Linked DNA regions of Nothobranchius furzeri. The main gene of each other region encodes a partner of the protein of the gene in region 4 in a complex. Links are inferred from orthologs where the notes say so. Each region holds a gene or a part of one and is shown on either strand. Other genes may lie near its edges. The genes, in order: timm50, timm17b, timm21, timm23a and timm17a.

Region 1 (4,270 bases), on a different chromosome or scaffold from region 4:
TTTATGCTCACGATCGCCCCCTCAGGCCAAAAGCGTTAACGGCAGCTTCAATAGTAGGCTCGTGCACGAGGCGCGCATGCTGTACGTGCACACTCCTTAACGAAAATAACAGCTGAGACAGTCCCGTGTGTGTGTGTGTGTGTGTGGCCCGGAGGACAGGGGAACACGCTAGGGCTGGGCAATCATATGATCGCACTTTGTGATCACGATCATTTTCAGTTCAATTACGGTGATCAGCTGGGAGTCTCGATCAGAAATAACAGATGTGTGCAGCCTCAGTAGGGGGCGCTAACACTCCATGCGCGTTGGTTGCCCACTGCCATTTAACAAAAAGAAGAAGCATTTGCAATTACACTTTTCCTGCTCCGCTACTTCGAGGAAGAGGTTTAATAAGCAGAATGGCCAAACGTGGAGCTGAAAACAGCGAAGTAGATCCCAGTCATGACTCGGAGTTGTCTTCTGGAGATGATGACATTGTTCAGAAGAAAAGTTACTCAACGTCAGTAGTGTGGCGGTGGTTCGGGTATCTCAAAAGTGACGTTGAGCCTGAACCCGCCGATGTGGGAGGAGTCTCTCTCTCCCCACTCAACTGCGCCCCCGCTGTGTGTGGAAAACTAAAATGGAAGATAACCTGCAACTCAGTCAGCTGTGGAATTGGGCTCGGCTCTGGACAGTATACCCCACCCCCTCCCCCGCGCTGCCTGTTGCCGCCACCATAACACACGGGGAAACCCCGGATGTTACATCAGTCAAAAACGCAAAAACCGCAGCTTTGACGGTCACGTGATCGTTAGGGATGCAACGATACCACTTTTTTCCAAACTGATACCGATACTTGGATCTGAGTACTCGCCGATACCGATACAGATACTTCTACCACACAAAAAAATTAAATGAATTGGAATACAGGTTTTATTTTCTTCTGTTTTCAATAGGAAAAGACTGTAAGGTAGATAAAAAGTAATATAAGTGATTACAAAACTAAAATATTAGGTGAACAGAAATGACAAGTTAAAGTGAAGTCAAGTCAAGTCAAGCAACTGCATTGGTATCATTTACTGGTATCGGTTAACTTTTACCGATACCGATACCAGTATTGTATCGGTGCATCCCTAGTGATCGTGCTGTTTGAAATCACGATTTCGGTCCAAAAACGAAAAATCGTTCAGCCCTACTCACCAAAGATGTAGACAACGCTGACCGCTCCGCCAAGGCCTAGGAGTCCCGCCAACCGCAGCACCATTTTTTTTGCATAGGCCATGTTCTCCTTCTGTTTCTTGTCATCTGTTTGCTCTCCTTCCTTCTTGCTCTGACCTTCTTCTGTAGGTGGCTGGCCCTGGAAAAACAAACAATAACAATAGATATTTCATTTGAAGTCAAAGCAGATCACCATGACACGTGGGGTCCCCCCAAGGATCAATTCTCGGACCACTGCTCTTCAATCTCTACATGCTCCCCCTGGGCCAGGTCATACAATAACAACATTACCTATCATAGTTATGCAGATGACACCCAGATCTACCTAGCTCTATCACATAGTGACTGTGGTCCTCTCCACTCACACCGCCAGTGTTTGGAGCAGGTTAATGACTGGATGCAGTCAAACTTCCTCCAGTTAAAGACACGACTGAAGTTCTTGTCTTTGGAAATCTGAAGGATAGGATGGAGGTTATTGATCGACTTGTCTCCGGAGGAATAAAGACCCAGGTTAGAATCTTGGTGACATAATTAGGGATGCGTGATATATCGGCATCGATGTCGGTATCGGCCGATGCCATGTCGTGTTGGTTTTAATGTTCTTGCTATTCTTGCTAATGGAAAAGCATATTGAACTGCCTCTGTGTGTGAAATGTGCTATAAAAATAAAGCTGCCTTGCCTTGAAGTCTGATTACAAGTCAAAGCTGTGATGCTGCACTGAGACACGTTAGCTGGACCTCTTGTTACCTCCAAAAATGATATTAAGCACCAAACAAAAAGATTTAATTCAACAAATGTTGTCCTTAATCTGGTGGGTCAACCAGGATTAGCGCCTTTGACCAGGTGAAATCACAGATTTGCAGATGATACAAAAATAAAAGCCTGAACAGGTGAGTATTTTTACAATACAGCCAGAAAATAAATAAAACTTCTGACAGAGCCACCGTTTATGAGGGCAATGGGATCTCAAACACTGATGGATGGGTACTCTAACATCCCGGAGATGTTTGGCATGAGTTAGAGGAGAGAAGAAGGTCCTGTTCTGTCCTTCTAGCCTAAAGCACCTTGACTGTTATTTTTCTAACAGAATGAAGCTTGGCTGAAGTCAGTATGAGAGAGGACGCAGCATTTTACCTGCAGACCCCACGATTACGGTCACGCACAGCTACAGCAACACATAAAACCAACGAGCAATAATATAAACCCTCCCGTGGAGAAACCTGCACAGGTAACGCTTAGCCGTCCGTGGCTAGATGTAGCTTCGGTTTGATATAATGGGGATTCTCGGAAGGGCGGAGTCATGACTTAAACGTACAAACTGCACTGCCTTCGCCGCTGGACAGAAAACCGAGCGCACCTCACCTGGCTCTGGTGCTGCTGGAGTCGCTCCTGGAGGATAGCCTGAGCTAGTCCGCTCGTCGCGCCGCGCGGTCCGCCAGACGGCTCGTCTGTGGAGAGTGTCCGGATGATATCCATCGCTGCCAGCCTGGAAGCACCTACCGCTCCGTTGCTGAGCCTCAGGAGGCCGTGACTCGCTCGGACACACATGGGGAACACAGCCGACATCTTGGATTGTAGCAGCCGGTGAGCGTGTGACGCAAGACTGAAAGACAAAGATCTGCGATTGGTTTGGCTCGCGTTGACGGACCAGTACACTGTCCAATCAGAAACGGAGTTGTCCACGTGGTTAAAAGAAGGGCGGTGCTTAGTAAATTTAGACCAATCAGAAGTGAAAATGAGTCTGACCTTCGGATGCGACACAAAACCACCATGACGGTTGGTGGCAAATTCGCCCTAGTCAAATGGGACTTTGTAGGTAGTTTGTGAGGTAGCGAGCCGCCATCTTGGATGGGTCATTATTTGCCCCCGTGCAACTATATCTACGGAGAAACTATAAACCTACTAAAACAAACCTTTTATTATGCTTTTTCATTAAGTCAGACGCATGGTATGGCATGATAAATAAAATGTAAATATAAACAAAATGAATGAAAATATAAAATCCCAAAAGGAAGGCTAGAAAAGTCTATATTAATCCCACGTGGTCTGTTTTCAACAGTGCGCCAGGTGTTGCAACCACTCTGTGTTTATGGTTGCAACCGTAGGCTGCACCAAAAACAGGCATAGTTCCCCACTCTTAGTTTGGAAAGTGCGGAACCCATCCAATATGGCGGCAATGCTGTTACTCTCTCCAGCGCCCAGTGGTGCAGTTTACGTATTCGTATGGGTGTGGGCGTCACCAGTAGACAAGCGGAATGGTTCTTTTACAAGGATTCAGTTCTCATCTTTTAATCTGAAAAGCCGAACGAAAGATTCAGTTTGTTAGTGAATGTCACATCTGTGTTAAAGGATCACTTTGCAGCTTTGGCCTGATTTTAACATGGAAACGTGAGATTACAGGAGGCCTGAATCTGACTGAGACTGGTAACCCTAAGGAAACCACCATCACAATCAGGTGATTGTGGTGGGTTCTCCACAGTTGGACTGAATACAGAAAAACAATCAGAACAAAGACTAAAGCTCCTAAGCTTGTAGATCCTCCTTCAGGAACTCAGGAATCATCTTCTGTTTGACACCATCATGGTTCTGGAGGAGTTCTGCTCCATTCTTCTTAAAGGTTGCTGACATTCAGCTCTTTGAAGGTCCTAAGTCTGGTTCGGGTCTGGACACTGACTGGACCTCTCCAACATCTTGATTCTGTTGTAGATCTGCTTCCATGTTCTGGATCATGATTATCTTTTATGACCCAGTTTGAGATGATCTCCAGCTGTCAGACAGATGGTTTCACATTAGAATCTAAGAGGCTTTGGTATCCAGAAGAGTTCATGGTGGATTTAATGAGTCCTGTTGGGTCGGAACCAGTCCAAACCATCAGCCCTCCACCACCGTGCTGACTGCTGGGATCAGCTGTTTGTGCTGTCATGCATTATGGGTAAACATCTATTTAATGGGACATCGTTCCAGAAACATTCTTGTTCATCCAGATAACAACCTAAGTTGAGCTGTCACAACTTTTAACAGAAAGAACTCAGGAGGTAGAGCAGGCTGTAATCTGAAGGTTGCAGATTAGAT
Region 2 (4,188 bases), on a different chromosome or scaffold from region 4:
ACTAGGTTTCACAAACAAACTGCAGCTTTAAAAGGCTGCAGAGATGTTCAGGAGGACCAGCGTGTGGGAACTCGAGTAAGAGCTGAGCTTCCTGCAAACCTCTTCCAGGAAAGACCTAGTCTTCTAGCGAGATCCTCAAACGTGATGCAAGCGCGGCTGTGAATGAGCGTGCATCTGGGCTCTCACTGGGCTATCTGTGACTGCTGGGGGCGCCTTTTCAAATCAAGAGGGAATTTCCAAGGATTCTCATTGTCCTTGTCTCGTGTTGCTGCCATTCTGAACAGGTCCTAACAAGCGTTTGTCCCAAAATAATAACAGACGTCTTGCTGCTGATGTCTGGAACCTTCGTCCATTCAGCAGTATGAGACCATTTTACAAAGGGTCCATTAATAAATCTGGAGTCAAATCAAAGAACATTAAGACAACAAGAAAATTAGCATCACTGCGGTAAATAAGCTCCACACGACCCTGTCCACATTCACGCTCCGCCTGTGTGGCTGCCAGCAGTCTCGGGCCAGCGACATCAGCTCATCCAGACAGTGGAGACAGGAGGGTTTTACGCTGAGAGCTCGTGTTTCCACGCGGACTCCAGAAGAGACCAAACATGTTCTCCCCATGTTTTAAACATACGTGTTTAAATCATTATGAATAATGAAAGCATTTATGTGAAACTCAAACTAGATATTTAAGCATAAAGACGACAGCGACAACTCTCGCACGTAAACATTTAAACACTGACCCTGAGGTTCTACAGCCAAGTCCTAAGGGCATTGCTGCTCTGGTCTACAGCTGGACTCAACCCTCTACTGGAACAGCCCTTTTGGGCCCTGCTGCTGGCTATGGGGGGGGCCCTCCGTCCTTCGGAGGAAGCTGACTGGGGTCCTCTGCAAAGGGAACGGCTGGAGACAACAAGCAGAAAGAAGTGAACTTGTCAGGCTTTTCTTGGACGTGCTGCAAGTATCCTACTGGTTATCGGTTTCAAACGACAGATGGCTTAACTAAAACCCAAAAGTGGTTTAAAGATGTCTGCAGGTGTTCAGTTTGAGCACCTGGTGTATATTACAGAGACGGGAAAGGCACTCACGGTTCTGAAACTGCTGGGCTGTGTATCTGGTTAGGAGAATGCCAAAACCTTCTATGAGAGCGAGTAAAACCCCGCCCATCATGGCCGAGCCCATCATGGTCAACGGCCCACCTGAGGCAAACCAAAACATTTGGTGAGTTACTGAGTTCCTGTCTAGTGTTTGGTTGTTGAGTGTTATCCTCACTGCGTGCTGCTAGAATGGCTCCAGTCAGCGCACCACTTGTTATAGAGTTCCACGGGTCTTCTTTCCCTCTCAGGCGAACCAAGCCACAGTCAATCGTAGAGAAGAGACCTCCCCATACGGCAAAGCTACCTGGTAGAAGAAGCACGTCAGTGCTGAAGCTCAGTTTAGAGAAAGGGACCAAAATCCTTCAGTGGTGTGTGAGGAGCAGAGCAGCAACGGGTCAAACCTCCAATCTGTGGGGCCCTCACTCTCACTGCCTTTGCACTTCCTCTTAGTCTGTGTCCAACACCCTGAAATGTTACAGACAGGTTTATAAAGGCTTCCAAGAAGTCAAGTCAAACTAGTCTGTTTTAAACTCACAGCAGGGGCATTTCGGAAGCCCTTGATGGCCTGGAACACCCCTCCACCGATGACACCCATGGAGAAAGCTCCTCCACAGTCGTCCACAATCCTCCAGGGGCTGCAGGAGGTTAGGGGAGGACACACAAGACACCGTCAAAATACAAGATATACAGTCAGATCAGGATACAGACGTCAACGGAACTGCGCTGCTCTGGGTGGCTGCATGTTGGAGTAGCTCTGTTGACTATATGTAAGTTTTGCCTTTTCTTGGGCATTTTTTCTTCTAGTTTCTCAAGAGAAACGGTATTTTTTTGGACACTACTTTTCTGTTTCTGGTGCTGTGAAGCTTGGAGGATTTTTACTGCTATTTTTTAGCTTTTTACACTTTTTGAGCATTTGTTATGATGCGTAACCATGGCAACAAGCTGGTTTACAATCGGGAGCAGCTGATTAACATTGGAAAGGCTGAAATAATACCTCAACTGAAGCCACAAATCCCAAATGAGCTAAAACGCAAGAAGCGTGGGTGCAGAGCGGGAGCAAAACGGAGACAGAGAAAGAGGAAATTCAAACCGTCTCTTCCATCGATCATAACGGGCAATGTGAGATCACTGGCCAACAAGATGGAGGAACTCCAAGCCCTTTCAAGGACTCAGCCAGAGTTTCGGCAGTTTCGGAACCGCTGGAGGAGAAAATGCAAAGGAGGATTCTCCAGAGAATCAAGAAAATTATGGACAACCCTGAGCGTTCTCTTCACAAGACTGTCCGACAACGGAAGAGTGTCTTCAGTCAGAGGCTTCTTCAGTTTGGCTGCAACACTGACCGCTACTGGAGATCCTTCCTGCCAACAGCCATTGTAATATACAACAACTCTTTGATGACTTGTTTATTATTATTATTCTGAGCTACTACAGCAATCAATTTCCTCTGGGATTAATAAAGTATTTTTGAATTGCATTGAACGTAAGCACGTATATATACGTGGATTGACAGCAGAACTCACAACGCGTCTCTGTTCTCTCACATGTTTATGTTTCACTAGAAAAACCAACACTGGTATGTATGTTAGCCGTATTTAGTTTACAGTTAAAGACAAACTAATCTTACCAAGGTTCGCGGACATATTCCTCCATGTTTGTTTTCGTCTAGACGTTGTGACGTCATACACGTGCGACCGGCGCTACTAGTGCGTTGGCGGTGCTAACATCATTTTCTCTGCTATTGGGTGAATTTCTTTATCTCAGGTAAACTTGTTCCTGTTCGGATCCCGTTTTGAAGCGTAAACGTTCAGATTTTCGTTCCTTCCGGGCATGGAAGTACTTACGCAGTCTGCTTGTTGATTTAATCATCCAGCGGTTGCTAACAGGGTTAGCCTTCGGGTAAACGTTTGTTGTTCGTGCAAATAAATGCAGATTTTACGAATGTCAGACTGTTTCTACATCTGTAGTTAAAGTCTTTAAAAATAACACAACTCAAATGTTGAACATAACTTCAACTGAAAACGTAAGAACAGCATTTATTCAAATTGTATTGAAAGCCCGACGCCTTTTACTGCGTGTGCTGTTGGGAGCTTTATGTTCTCCATATTTCATTACAATGTTTTATCTGAAAGGTTTCTGTTCAGATGTTTATTTGTTATAAATTAACTCGTTTTTGTACGTAATTTGGCAGTAAAGAGACGTTTTGTTTATTGGGATAAACCCCGTTGTGTATAATTGAGGCTGTATACTTTAAATATCAGAACACATGAGAAACAAGTAAATTTTCTGTATCTTTGCTGTGGATTTATGAAACCACTGACCTCATGTACAGATGTTCGAGGTGACTGTTGTGACAGCATCTCGTGTTTTTCAGGATGCCTCTTCCTCCAGCTCTGCTGGCCCGCTTGGCCAAGAGGGGGATCGTTAAACCAACAGAACGAGGTTCTCATTTGGCTTGAACACGCTGGCTCCATGCATCCTTCTCTGTGACTTTACACGTATGTCGTGTAACAGTATTTTCTCCTTTAATAACAGGTGCAGATGAGGAGATTATTGCCGAAGATTATGATGACAATAATGTAGATTATGAAGCCACCAGAGCAGAGAATCTTCCTCCAAACTGGTACAAAGTGTTTGATCCAGCTTGGTACGTACACTGTACTGGTTATCTACGGTTCTTTGGTAGTTTTACCTCCAGTGCGCTTGTGTTTGGGTGTTTGCAGTCCAGATGAAGCTTTCCAGTGAATTCACAAAGCGATGTCATTGGGTCTCTTTTACATGTTTAGTATGTAAGCTGATTAGCCTTCTCTTCCTGATTTCCTGCCACCCTCAGTGGTCTTCCTTACTACTGGAATGTTGAGACGGATCTAGTCGCCTGGCTGTCCCCAAATGACCCCTCGTCTGTGATAACAAAAGCTGCCAAGAAAATGAAAGGTGGGTTTAAAAACTAAACTCGCCAGTTTTGCATAAGTGTCTTTAAAAAAGAAACGAGGAATGTTTTTCACAGAAATTGCATTATTATTTGTTTTTAGCTGATTTGGGAGATGAAAGAGGAGAGCGACCGTTTGAGAAGCCAGACAGAGAGAGAGAACGGGAAA
Region 3 (3,136 bases), on a different chromosome or scaffold from region 4:
TGAATTTCCTCTTTCTCCATCTCCGTTTTGCTCCCGCTCTGCACCCACGCTTCTTGCGTTTTAGCTCATTTGGGATTTGTGGCTTCAGTTGAGGTATTATTTCAGCCTTTCCAATGTTAATCAGCTGCTATCGATTGTAAACCAGCTTGTTGCCATGGTTATGCATCATAACAAATGCTCAAAAAGTGAAAAAAGCTAAAAGAAATAGCAGTAAAAATCCTCCAAGCTTCACAGCACCAGAAACAGAAAAGTAAAGTGTCCAAAAAATACAGTTTTTCTTGAGAAACTATAAGAAAAAATGCCCAAGAAAAGACAAAACTTACATATAGTCAACAGAGCTACTCCAACATGCAGCCACCCAGAGCAGCGCAGTTCCGGAAAAGCCGCCGTTTGAAGCTCAGCTCTGATGTGGCTCACTTCTAGTTCCTGAAAATGGTGCGCCGGTGTTTTCTTTCCCCAGAGTATGACACACGAGATGTTTATTCCTACTAGAGACTACTGCAAATGTATTGATTAAATGAGGAAAGGGAAGAGGAGAATGGGGAACTGCACTTGTAAAGTTACAATAATTAGTACACTTCCTGTAAATTCTTCTCAGAAGTACCAGGATGTGAACGTTTCCTGCATCATGTAGATCGAACTCAGTCCTTCAGTCTATGGCTTTTAAGATTAAGGATATTTCCGTCCTCTGGAAGACAAAAACTGTTACTACAGTCAATGTTAATAAAGCTAAACAAGACCATACTCATTATTACTTCCTGTATGTTCTTTCAAAATAAAACATAGCATAGTTTAGTCCAGATAATGAGAAAGCCAGAACATCTTCTCTTATTCAAACTACTTAACTACTAAAACTCAATAAATATATCTAATGTATCTGTGTTTAACCAGATGGAATCAATGAGCTAAAGCAGGAAATATTAGCAGCTAGCTGAACATTTCAGATCTCTGCTCCATCTAACTTCTACTTACTGAAACAGAAGAGCAAATGTTTTACTTTTTTCTTCACAGAAAACGACTCACAAGGATTTACACAAGAGCCACCATAACAAATGGGGGGAAATGTTCCTGGTATTGCAAGCTTGTTGTTTCGTTTTTGTCCGGTAGGTGGAGGTAGTCCAAGCTGATTTGTTTACTCCTAATAAAGACAACAAAGAAGAAGCTACGCCATATTGGTGCGACCTAAACCAGCTTTGTTTGTGTGACATTAGCCGATTAATGTTCTATAATTAAACGTCACGGTGACATAATTATACACTATAGTAGGCCAGCCGCTGTAGTTTGTACTGCCGTTCACCTCAATGTGGGTTTATTGACAATAATGGCGTATCTTCACCCTTTAAAAGCCTTGTTACACCGAAGTCTGCAACACACAGCGGCAGCGCAAACATGTCAGTTGCGACTGTTAGCTCACGCGCGCAGGACTTTGTCCACAACACCAGGACTGGTCCTTCTCGGGACAGATAGTCCTCTGTCTGCGCTGAGTTGTCTCCGTGTGGCTGTGAGACCGCTCCACTGTTCAGCCAGAAACAGGAGCAGGCCAGAGGACGAGAACAAAGCGGCGGTGTCCAGGTATCAGCGCGCAAGCCCCAAAGCTTCAGCTTCCCAGAAGAGTAAGCTAATGCTAACGCTATGTTGCTATGCAGCACGGTACAAAATGCTGTAGGTTAGGGTTAGTTTATGCCAATTACTGCATGCTGTTGTTTACTAAAGTCTCATTGTGGGTGTCTTCCAGTAAAAGAAGCTGGTAAAGACTTCACCTACCTGATAGTTGTGATCATCGGACTGGGAGTGACAGGTGAGAGTAGCCAGACTGCAGAAACAAACGTGTGATTAGCAGCATATTTAATTTGATCTTACCCGCTGCTGTCAAAATAAATAAAAATGTGTGCGTTTGTGTTTAGGTGGACTGCTGTATGTGGTTTTCCAGGAGCTGTTTTCGTCCAAAAGCCCAAATAAAGTCTACGCAAAAGCTTTTGATAAAGTCAGGTCACACCCAGAGGTGAGAATGACAAATGATTTACTCTTTTGGCTCTTTTCAGTATAAAGTTACATGCACGGTGCTGTTTTTGATTTGAAAGTGCAGGTAATCGGGGCATTTGGCGAGCCAATCAAGTGCTACGGTGAGACCACCCGCAGAGGAAGGAGGCAGCATCTCAGGTACAAACTAAACTAGGCATAAAACTGTGTTTATTTGGGATTATGCTGTTTTTTAATCTGTTTTTGTTTTCGCCTCAGTCATCTGGAGTATCTGAAGGATGGACTGAAGCACTTGAGACTGAAGTTTTACATTGAAGGCTCCGAGCCAGGCCTGAAAGGAACTGTTCATTCAGAGTCGAAGGAGGTGTGTAGGTTTCTGATCTGCTCACACAATATCCATTTTATAATAGCTGGTATCAAATACTAAGAGCTGAGAGGAAAACTGCATCCATTGTCTTTTGATTTGTTGTCTTTGGTTTCTTACTTCAGAACCCAGAAACGGGGAAATATGAATTTCGTTATATATTCGTGGATCTAGATACCTACCCCAAACGGAGCATCATCATAGAGGACAACAGATGAGAACCCCTGCTGTTCACAATCTGCATTATTTAAATAAACAAGGCACTGGTCACTGGATTACAATCTTGTCCTTTTTAATTTGAAACTAATGTGTTAAATGACTCAACAAAGTCCAGTTTGTGTCCCTGCTTTAGACCTTTTGACCCCTCTTTATTGCTGATCTGTCCTAAAGTGTCCTTCAGGGGGGCTTTCTTTTTAAATAAACGCGGACTCTTCTGCTTGACTAAATTAAAAATTTTGGGCATTTCTTTTTGCAACATTTATCTACTTTCAAAAAATAGATCCATCCATCCATTTTCATCCGCTTATCCGGAGTCGGGTCGCGGGGGCAGTAGCCTAAGGCGAGAGGCCCAGACTTCCCTCTCCCCAACCACTTTGGCCAGCTCCTCCGGGGGAATCCCAAGGCGTTCCCTGGCCAGGTGAGAGACATAGTCACTCCACCGTGTCCTGGGTCTACCTTTAGGTCTCCTCCCGGTTGTACGTGCCCGGAAAACCTCACCAGGGAGGCGTCCAGGAGGCATCCTGACCAGATACCCGAGCCACCTCAACTGGCTCCTCTCGATGTGGAGGAGCA
Region 4 (4,037 bases):
CACAAGGGTAACTCATCATAATTGTATTCAATAACCCCTATGGTTTCCTAAAATAATCTCAGCATTAGCATAATTATTGTTCTTAACTCTGCATGTTCTAACACAACAACAGAGCTTTGGTATTGAAAGGTAAAAAAAAAAAAAAAGAGAGATGCTGGGAAACTAGGATTTTCAACCACCTGTAAGAGAAAATGTATAAATGTAACTGTGTAAACAAGAAAAACACCAAAGTGTAATTTTCTATTAATATAAAAGTTATAATGTTCTAATTTCAACAATCTGATGGATAAAATGTTCCACATTTCTACAGAGGAAGTCTGATTCAATCCAATCAACAAGTGGTCAGAAAAAAATTAGGTCTAAAGCCTGATTCATGCTTCTCCGTCAGCTCCACAAGGAACACACACGCACGGATTGACGGAAGAGTTTTGCTCTCATACTTCTACGTCTCCTGGAGTGTTGCAGATCAATTGCCCAGCAGGACAGCAGAGGGCGTAGCGCTGTTCAGTGGTACCCTGTCATGTATCGGTCCAAGATAGTGTGTTTATATTGTGGGGTTTTTTTGTATATAAGAGACTTTTTAACACGGACATATTTGTCTCTCATTCTCCTCCACCTCCAGATGCGTTCGCCATCTCTAAACCCACGTTTCCTGTCATTTCCGTCCACAAATAAAACGCTTGCTGAGCATCTTTTCACTCCTCCAGTCACGGGGAATTAAACGTTCATGTTTTTAGAGTTTTATCGCGAGGTATTCTTCAAGCTGCTCCGTGTCTGCCGCTAGTTATCCTCGGCTCACATGTTTTTGAAGGCGCAATGGCGGCGGTGTAGACGACAGCGGCGTCCTGACCAATCACAAGCCTGCGTTGTCTGTCTCGACTGACGGATGTTTAGAGAAGAGAGCTCGACTCCGTCCGTCCTTGCGGAGCTCACGTTGCGTGTCTCCGCACTGACGCAGACGGAGAAGCATGAATCAGGCTTTAGGTTGACAAAACACAAACACAAAAGACACATACCACTAGATTTAAAGAGCATCCCTGTTAATGTGCCAGCAGCCACTGTGTTGATGTCATCTTCTGCTCCTCTGGTCTTCTCAATCACCACACCAAATGCACTGTACAACAAGGCTGCAATGATACAACAAACACAACGTTTAAAAGGTGAACTCGTGTCCAATTCACACAACTGTTAACCTCAAACTACAGACAAACATTTAGTTATAAAAATGGTCAAATGTGTTGTTATGAGTAAGTTTCCACTGATTACCAACAGAGCCAAGAGAGTTGGCCCACGAAGCCCCCTGCTTGGTCACCATGTTAAGAATCCTGGTGGAGAAAAAGTAACGTTATAGAAAAGCGATGCAAAATGCAGGTAAAATTACCTGGTGATTATTTTTTCTGTTTACTTACTGTACGTTACGAGGTTTGGACCATGCCATGTCTCTGGTCTCTTTCAGGCCCATCCTCAGACCGTTTACAGCTCCAAGTGCAGCTCCTGCAGGGCAATAATTCAATCAATCAATCAATTAATCAATCAAAGCTTTATTTATAAAGCGCCTTCCGCAACCCTGTCAGGAAGCCCAAGACGCTGAACATGAATTCAAGTCAAGCCACGAATATGATGTGATAACCCAACATCACAGTAGGACAACATTAGATGATCTGTTTTTGTTGGAGCTACTTTACATGAAAGCAGCAGATTTTGCAGTGACTTTAGTTTTTGTATAAACTGAACACGATGAACACATAAATATTATCTCCGCTGTGAATAACACTAATCTCAGGTTGTAAAATGAATATTTTAATGAAGTAGGGTTAAAATCTTAAAATATACTTACCAGTCATGCATGATCCACCAATGGTGAAGAAAGCCAATTCAAATCTTCCTCTCGTTTTGTTGGCCCCTGTGGGTAAAATGAACTCATCTGTGTCCTAAAACAAACATTTAGATTAGTGAGACCAGTCAAATTTAAATAAGCATGAAATATGAACAAAATTTAACTATAGAAGCTTACCTGAACCAGGTATCGAGGGTCTACGTTGAGGTAAGGAGAGAGGGGACTCATTCCTGTCACTAAAACAAAAGAAAGAAGTTACGGGGATGCTAACACTAGCTAGCATTGTATCGGTATTACATGCTACTTACATGGGACACCGGCGAGCTCTGTGTTGGAATATTCAGATGCACCACCACCACCAAAAAGATTCCCGAGGCCCGCTTTCAAGCCCCCTGAACCCTGTGAGTTGTTGTCCATGACCGTAATTGTTCCAAAGAGCTCAATTATACCTTAGAAAGTAGCTGCTAACCGAGCTAAACTTAGCAGCCTTCGCAGTTATGTGGCAATCTTCAAACCCAGGACGAACTATTTCACGAGGATCAGCGAAATAAACCGAAATCAATATTCTGATAAAGCTAATTTTCTAAAGCGTAATTACACCGTCTTATTGCTAAAAAATGCAGTGAGCTATTTTATACATCACGACCCTGACCTCCAGCAACACGCTCTGCCGTAAAGCGAGCTCTGTCGTGGACTGTCATTACGTCAACGCACTCACTTTAACCTTCAACAAATCTCCAAAATCAAACTCGCATTCACAAAAAATACAAAAATTAAAATAAAAACTTTAAATGTGTATATATTTTTATTATAATAAATCTTATTGTTTATATCCAGGAAAACCAAACGTTTGCACCCAAAGTTTTACGACACTTCAGAAAAAAGCAGAAACTTAAAAGAAGTTTAAAAAAAATATTAAGTACACTTGAGTGTACATAAACTCATAATTCCAGGGGTTTAAAATCGTTCTAGCGCACACAATTAAAGAAGTATATTAAAGTATTTTAACGACATGCTTGATGTGCTTTATAAATTTATTTGCTTTATAAATAAATGTAATTCAGATAATTTTGGCTTAGGAGCGGAAAGTTTGGATTTCCGAATTTAGAAATTGGACTACTATTTTTATTATATTTGTCATACTTTGTCCCAGCAAGTGTTGTAGCCTACACATAGATGGACCATGCTCTTCCCATGCATACGTTTTGTTCACTGAATTGTCTACTTCTTCTTTTTAGAGCTTGATAGACAACAATTCTATTTCAGTCCCAGAGACTTGAGGAGGCAGAAGATGGATTCTGTTTCACGTAACAGCTCATGGAGTCAGAGCAATCCTGGGGAAAGTGTGGGGAACTTTATAGCTGAGTAAAACTTCAACAAAAATAAGCCGATGCCCTTCTAGCTTATGATGGGAATGTTATTTAGACTTTAGAAATATTTGATTTGTCTTTTATAAAGATTATAGCTGTTACTCCTCATAAAACATTATGTGGTCTAATGTGTTTTATGGACCAAGCTGTAGCATTTGAAAACATGATGCTGTTGGAGCAAATTTGATTAATTTTGTGATTGCAATTAAAATAAGGTAAAGGCAATAAAAATACACAATGTAGAATAAAAACCCATCAAAAAGTTGGTGTCTTTAAATTATTCCCTATTTAACAAAAATTGTAACTCACTGTGATAAAATGAGTAAAATCCAGTTCACCTTCTTAGCAATCATTGATCATCAACACTGCCCTTTTGAGTTTGGTTCTTCCGTACAATCCATCAGGGTTGCACACACTAGGGTCCACATCCAGAGATTTTTCCTGGACATTTCTTCGGCCGCTGACAGCAAAAGTCTTGCTTTAATGACAACTATAGGAACTGTAAGTTCAATCTTTTTAGCTGCTCTGCTTGTTTGAATTTGTCTTTTATGAGAAACAGATAAGATCCTGATTTAGAGCGCATTGCTTGCAAAATGTGATTTGGGCTGTAAGATTAATGAAACAGTATGGAATATTTAGATTTCACAACAAAACAAATGTGGACATAAACAAAATCCCACAAACCAAAAATGAGCAAAAGTGACAGCAGAAGTCTTACAATAATGTGACGGATAAAGTCGTGTAAAAAATATTTTAAAAAATTTATTCTAAAAGTGATTCTAAAATTCACTCACGCTGTGTGCTCATTATATAGCATTTACTTTTAAATT
Region 5 (4,119 bases), on a different chromosome or scaffold from region 4:
AGTTGCATTTATGGGGCTGTGCATAAATCCAGAGGCTGCATCCTTTCAAGGCCACATTTTAAGGTTGATTATGCCACAGAAAAGTGACAAGGCCTTCCAAATATGAAGGAAACTCAAAATGTGTCCTTGTTTTCCCCAAATATCAAGGACAGACTAGTGGCTAGAAATCGGTGTCAGTCATCCGCCACAGAGAACGGCTGATCTAGCTCTAGGTAATTTGCTCAGTCTTCCGACGGTCACGCTCACACAGATGAGTGTTGGTGAGTGGCTGCAGTTGACTGTTGATGCTCCGTGTTTTTATTTCTGCAGGAAGCCAAACTCACCTCACACTGCCTGGAGTTTGTTCTTCAAAATTTTCATTAAATCCACTATGTTAACACATTTTTACGAGCTTCCTCCACGATGCATTTTTCACTGCAGGAATTAAAGTTTACATCACAGAGTAAAAGTTCTGCAGACAAGTTTGTTTACATTTTAGCCGCTGCGCACCTGCGCAGTGTGAGGCTAAGGAGGGGGGACGCAATGCTGCTCTCAGGGTCTCTGCGGGCTGCGAGTAGGACCGACAGATAGCTGGTATGATCGGCTCTGAAAGGCATTGATCAGAATTTGCATATCATGCTTTTTTCACGGAGATCGACAACAGATTCTTCTTCCGGTCAGCAGCCTTAAATCTGAACGATTCTGGAAAAAACTGACGGTTAGTCCCGGTTCCAATCGATGCCCAACCCAACAGACCGGGTAATCCAGGTCCTTACTAGGATACTATCCCTGGATTTGGACCCATCCAGCATCCTTGACCAAGCCATTAAATGTCAAGGCTAGTCTTCATGTGAGTGTGTAAAAGGGAACCCTGTAAAACACTGTTGGTTAACTTACTGAAGGTGCATTTCTGAAGCCTTTCACAGCCTGAAAAATTCCTCCACCAATAGCTCCCATGGTGAAAGCTCCACCACAGTCATCCACAATCCTCCAGGGGCTACAAGTAAAAAACAGAATTCAAAATTCTGATCTAAAAAAAGTCTCAAGAAAACTTTATTTTAGTGTTAAAATGCAACACAGTCATGGATGATGTTTGAAGTGTGTGCTTCCAAGCTGAAGTTCAAATAAACACACAGTCTTAATTGGAACTGTAGCATTTACTATACGGGACACACAGAACTATTGAGATTAAAACAAACTATGAAGCCTCAAGAAAAAAACTTTTTTGTGTCAATTTTATGGGGGGGAAAAAAGAGATGTAATTAGGGAAGAGTTTACTGAGATGAGCGATCCCTAGCCCTGCAGCCAGAACTGTAAATAGAGATAGGTGCAACAAATAGAAATGCTTAAAAGAGTTTGATTTATACCAAAGAGGAACAAAATGTGAATTATTAAACACAGCAAAAGGTCTGGTGACAGAGTACACAGACACTGATAACTATGTCTTTTAAACTGTTCTGTTTATGTGATGTTTGAATAATTCTGGTAACCACTCTTATGAAAACAGATGACAGAAATTGAGCGATAACCCCCTAAGTTTTTCTTCAACTCATTTATATTTAACATCCAAGAACCAATTTCATGCAGTTTTTCTAAAATAAAGTTTTCTGAAAAAATTTCATGTCTGATTCAGTCAGACTATTTTTTCAGTCAAGTCTTTGAACCTGGACTTGGTTTAGAATAACACCTGAAGAATGACGCAACTCTCATCACACAATTTGAAGACTGATGAAATTTTGAGCTCATTTCTTACACTTCATTTACTACACTTAGAAATGTTCAGCTTTACAAAAACTCTACAAATCTGCCATACCTGTCAAAGTATGTTTTTTGACATTTTTGTCTGAACAAAAATGAACAAATTACATGTGTTACAATACTAAGATCCCAGTTATTGAGAGAGATCATTGTATGAGTGGATTAACAAAGCAGCATCATAAACAGTTTTAAAACACTCAATAGCAGCAAACTAACAGCTGACATATAAAGCCAACTTCTTCTCACTGGAAATGATTAAAAGGCATTTTTCCCTGTCTTGGATTTCAAACATTAACCTAATTTAACCCTCAAAATGTCTTGCTATAAAACAGCATTTGTCAAATTTTAAATGATCTCTTGTTAAACCTGTTTTTATAAAGATGACCCAGCTAGACAACTAAGGTGTTCCAGTGTTAGGCATATTTAATATAACTCAATAGGAGTATCTCAGAACGTTTGATATGTATATGTCTGATCATACGATTTTGTCTTAAATTACAAGTTGTGTAATATCCGGATGGTTAGCACACTGGTGGCTAACTGAGCTAACAGCTACATCAACAATGTCTAATAGCCTAACAATATCTGAAGACGATAACTTTTATAAATGCTGTTAGTGATTAATATAAACTGTGACACTTATAATTCACAAAGCGTAACTTCAGTTCCTGAATTTACTTTGATGACATGTGGACGAGAAAAACGGCAAGGTCACCAACAACGTGATTTAGCCTTTCCGTTCTGATGCTAGCACAAAAGCCCATTAAACTCAAGGAGAAATTAGCATTTGAGCTAAATTGGCCAGCCGGTATTTTTTTTTCCAGGTGTATCGGGATGTGCCACAAGCTTTAACAATAAATATAAAGATGAAAACTAAATGCAATGCTCATTTTAAATTAGATAAAATTGGCTAATTTTATTAAAACAACGTAAACTGTAACATTTATCGTTATTTTGAAACTTACCACGGCTCTCTGGCATATTCCTCCATTTTGTTCTTTAGCTGTTACCACTGACGTAACGTAACGTCACTTCTTCCTTAAAAAAGAAAAACTTTATTGAAAAAAAATGAACAATGACAAATTTTCAACACAGGACTTTAATCACGCTCCTTCAAGACACTAAATTAAAAGAGAAGCAAAACCTTGTAGTGACATATATATTAAAACACATAAGGGCGAAAATAAAAAGAGGTACAAAGTACAAATGAAACAAACATGGAATACCAAACCAGTAGAAAAACAAATACTAAATAGAAGGAAATCGATAAAAATTAAGTTGTCCTATGAATGTGTAAAGCCTAATTGCAAGAGAATTAGTTTCAAACATTTTTGTAAAACGGAAGATAATTTTTAAACGCCATTGGGTGAGACTAGGCATATGTACATGTATGTAGGTCTATATACTAATAATACTTTGTAAAGATAAGATTGTTTATAAAAACAATGCAGTTTTTCTCTTTTAGGATTATACCAAACGGAACAAAGATTCACGGAAAGATTTCTGACAGTGTCACATTCATGCTCCATGTTCATGCTCTGTTTTCTCCAATGTTGTTTTATAGATGTAACAATTTTCATATGACCCCCTCTCTCTCTCTCTCTCTCTCTCTCTCTCTCTCTATATATATATATATATATATATATATATATATATATATATATATATATATATATATATACACACACACACACACACACACACACATATGTGTGTGTGTAAAGTACAGGCTAAAAGATTGGATACAACTTCTCATTCAATATGTTTTCTTTATTTTTCATGACCATTTACTGTACGTTGGTAGACTCTCACTGAAGGCATCAAAACTACAAATGAACACATGTGGAGTTATGTACTTAACTAAAAAAGATTAAATAACTGAAAAAATGTTTTATATGCTATTTTCCTCAGAAAAGCCACCCTTTTTACTACATAATATTTTATAGCCATACTATGTTAGAAGATTGTAAAAAGGGATGAAAAAATGTTTTAAGCTAATTTGTTTTCCAAGTTTCTTAAAGCAGCTTTAATACCTTCAAGTTTTCCTGATTTGACAGGGTAAAGCTGTGGAAAAAAATCCACTTTGTTCTTTGTTTCATAAAAAATGGTTAAATGAATGTTCCAGGCATTTAAAAAAACTGTAATACAAACTTCTTATAAACCGCAAGTTGGTACTATTAAAGTTCTTTTCTGCTTTTAAACGTTGACATAATTTTTCTGCAAGCCCGTGTGTTAGTGTTAAAGCATTTAACGGAATGTTTTCATTCCCTCTCCTGTTTTTCTCCATCAGAGACTGACGCTGCTGGTCAGAGGAGCAGCTACAGCCAAGAGACAGACAGCTGGCATGCAGCCCATTATTAGAAAGGGGGAAAGGAATGACTT

What was found.
Region 1: timm23a (region 4) and timm50 share a complex: the UniProt entries of both Homo sapiens proteins name them as parts of the TIM23 complex. The link is inferred for Nothobranchius furzeri from reciprocal best matches to the Homo sapiens genes TIMM23 and TIMM50.
Region 2: timm23a (region 4) and timm17b share a complex: the UniProt entries of both Homo sapiens proteins name them as parts of the TIM23 complex. The link is inferred for Nothobranchius furzeri from reciprocal best matches to the Homo sapiens genes TIMM23 and TIMM17B.
Region 3: timm23a (region 4) and timm21 share a complex: the UniProt entries of both Homo sapiens proteins name them as parts of the TIM23 complex. The link is inferred for Nothobranchius furzeri from reciprocal best matches to the Homo sapiens genes TIMM23 and TIMM21.
Region 5: timm23a (region 4) and timm17a share a complex: the UniProt entries of both Homo sapiens proteins name them as parts of the TIM23 complex. The link is inferred for Nothobranchius furzeri from reciprocal best matches to the Homo sapiens genes TIMM23 and TIMM17A.

What each region holds. Positions count from the first base shown.
Region 1 is NC_091753.1:57,198,088-57,202,357, forward strand, and holds the start of timm50 (mitochondrial import inner membrane translocase subunit TIM50), read right to left. Parts: upstream 2,801-4,270; 5' UTR 2,783-2,800; coding exon of another isoform or gene 2,765-2,782; coding exon 2,561-2,764; intron 1,337-2,560; coding exon 1,180-1,336; intron 1-1,179. Other genes in the region: clip3 (CAP-Gly domain-containing linker protein 3), read left to right, coding at 2,745-2,782. UniProt on the Homo sapiens protein: Essential component of the TIM23 complex, a complex that mediates the translocation of transit peptide-containing proteins across the mitochondrial inner membrane. Has some phosphatase activity in vitro; however such activity may not be relevant in vivo.
Region 2 is NC_091755.1:41,960,070-41,964,257, forward strand, and holds the start of timm17b (mitochondrial import inner membrane translocase subunit Tim17-B), read right to left. Parts: upstream 2,802-4,188; 5' UTR 2,744-2,801; coding exon 2,718-2,743; intron 2,293-2,717; exon of another isoform or gene 2,184-2,292; intron 1,729-2,183; coding exon 1,629-1,728; intron 1,559-1,628; coding exon 1,495-1,558; intron 1,398-1,494; coding exon 1,269-1,397; intron 1,196-1,268; coding exon 1,085-1,195; intron 900-1,084; coding exon 838-899; 3' UTR 1-837. Other genes in the region: pqbp1 (polyglutamine-binding protein 1), read left to right, coding at 3,466-3,532, 3,626-3,737, 3,924-4,024, 4,123-4,188. UniProt on the Homo sapiens protein: Essential component of the TIM23 complex, a complex that mediates the translocation of transit peptide-containing proteins across the mitochondrial inner membrane.
Region 3 is NC_091747.1:54,073,321-54,076,456, forward strand, and holds timm21 (mitochondrial import inner membrane translocase subunit Tim21), read left to right. Parts: upstream 1-1,132; 5' UTR 1,133-1,321; coding exon 1,322-1,613; intron 1,614-1,735; coding exon 1,736-1,798; intron 1,799-1,904; coding exon 1,905-2,002; intron 2,003-2,086; coding exon 2,087-2,160; intron 2,161-2,238; coding exon 2,239-2,344; intron 2,345-2,469; coding exon 2,470-2,562; 3' UTR 2,563-2,625; downstream 2,626-3,136. UniProt on the Homo sapiens protein: Participates in the translocation of transit peptide-containing proteins across the mitochondrial inner membrane.
Region 4 is NC_091756.1:45,105,828-45,109,864, forward strand, and holds the start of timm23a (mitochondrial import inner membrane translocase subunit Tim23), read right to left. Parts: upstream 2,808-4,037; 5' UTR 2,255-2,807; coding exon 2,146-2,254; intron 2,074-2,145; coding exon 2,015-2,073; intron 1,932-2,014; coding exon 1,838-1,931; intron 1,495-1,837; coding exon 1,410-1,494; intron 1,326-1,409; coding exon 1,267-1,325; intron 1,128-1,266; coding exon 1,017-1,127; intron 1-1,016. UniProt on the Homo sapiens protein: Essential component of the TIM23 complex, a complex that mediates the translocation of transit peptide-containing proteins across the mitochondrial inner membrane.
Region 5 is NC_091743.1:60,935,310-60,939,428, forward strand, and holds the start of timm17a (mitochondrial import inner membrane translocase subunit Tim17-A), read right to left. Parts: upstream 2,803-4,119; 5' UTR 2,729-2,802; coding exon 2,703-2,728; intron 977-2,702; coding exon 877-976; intron 1-876. UniProt on the Homo sapiens protein: Essential component of the TIM23 complex, a complex that mediates the translocation of transit peptide-containing proteins across the mitochondrial inner membrane.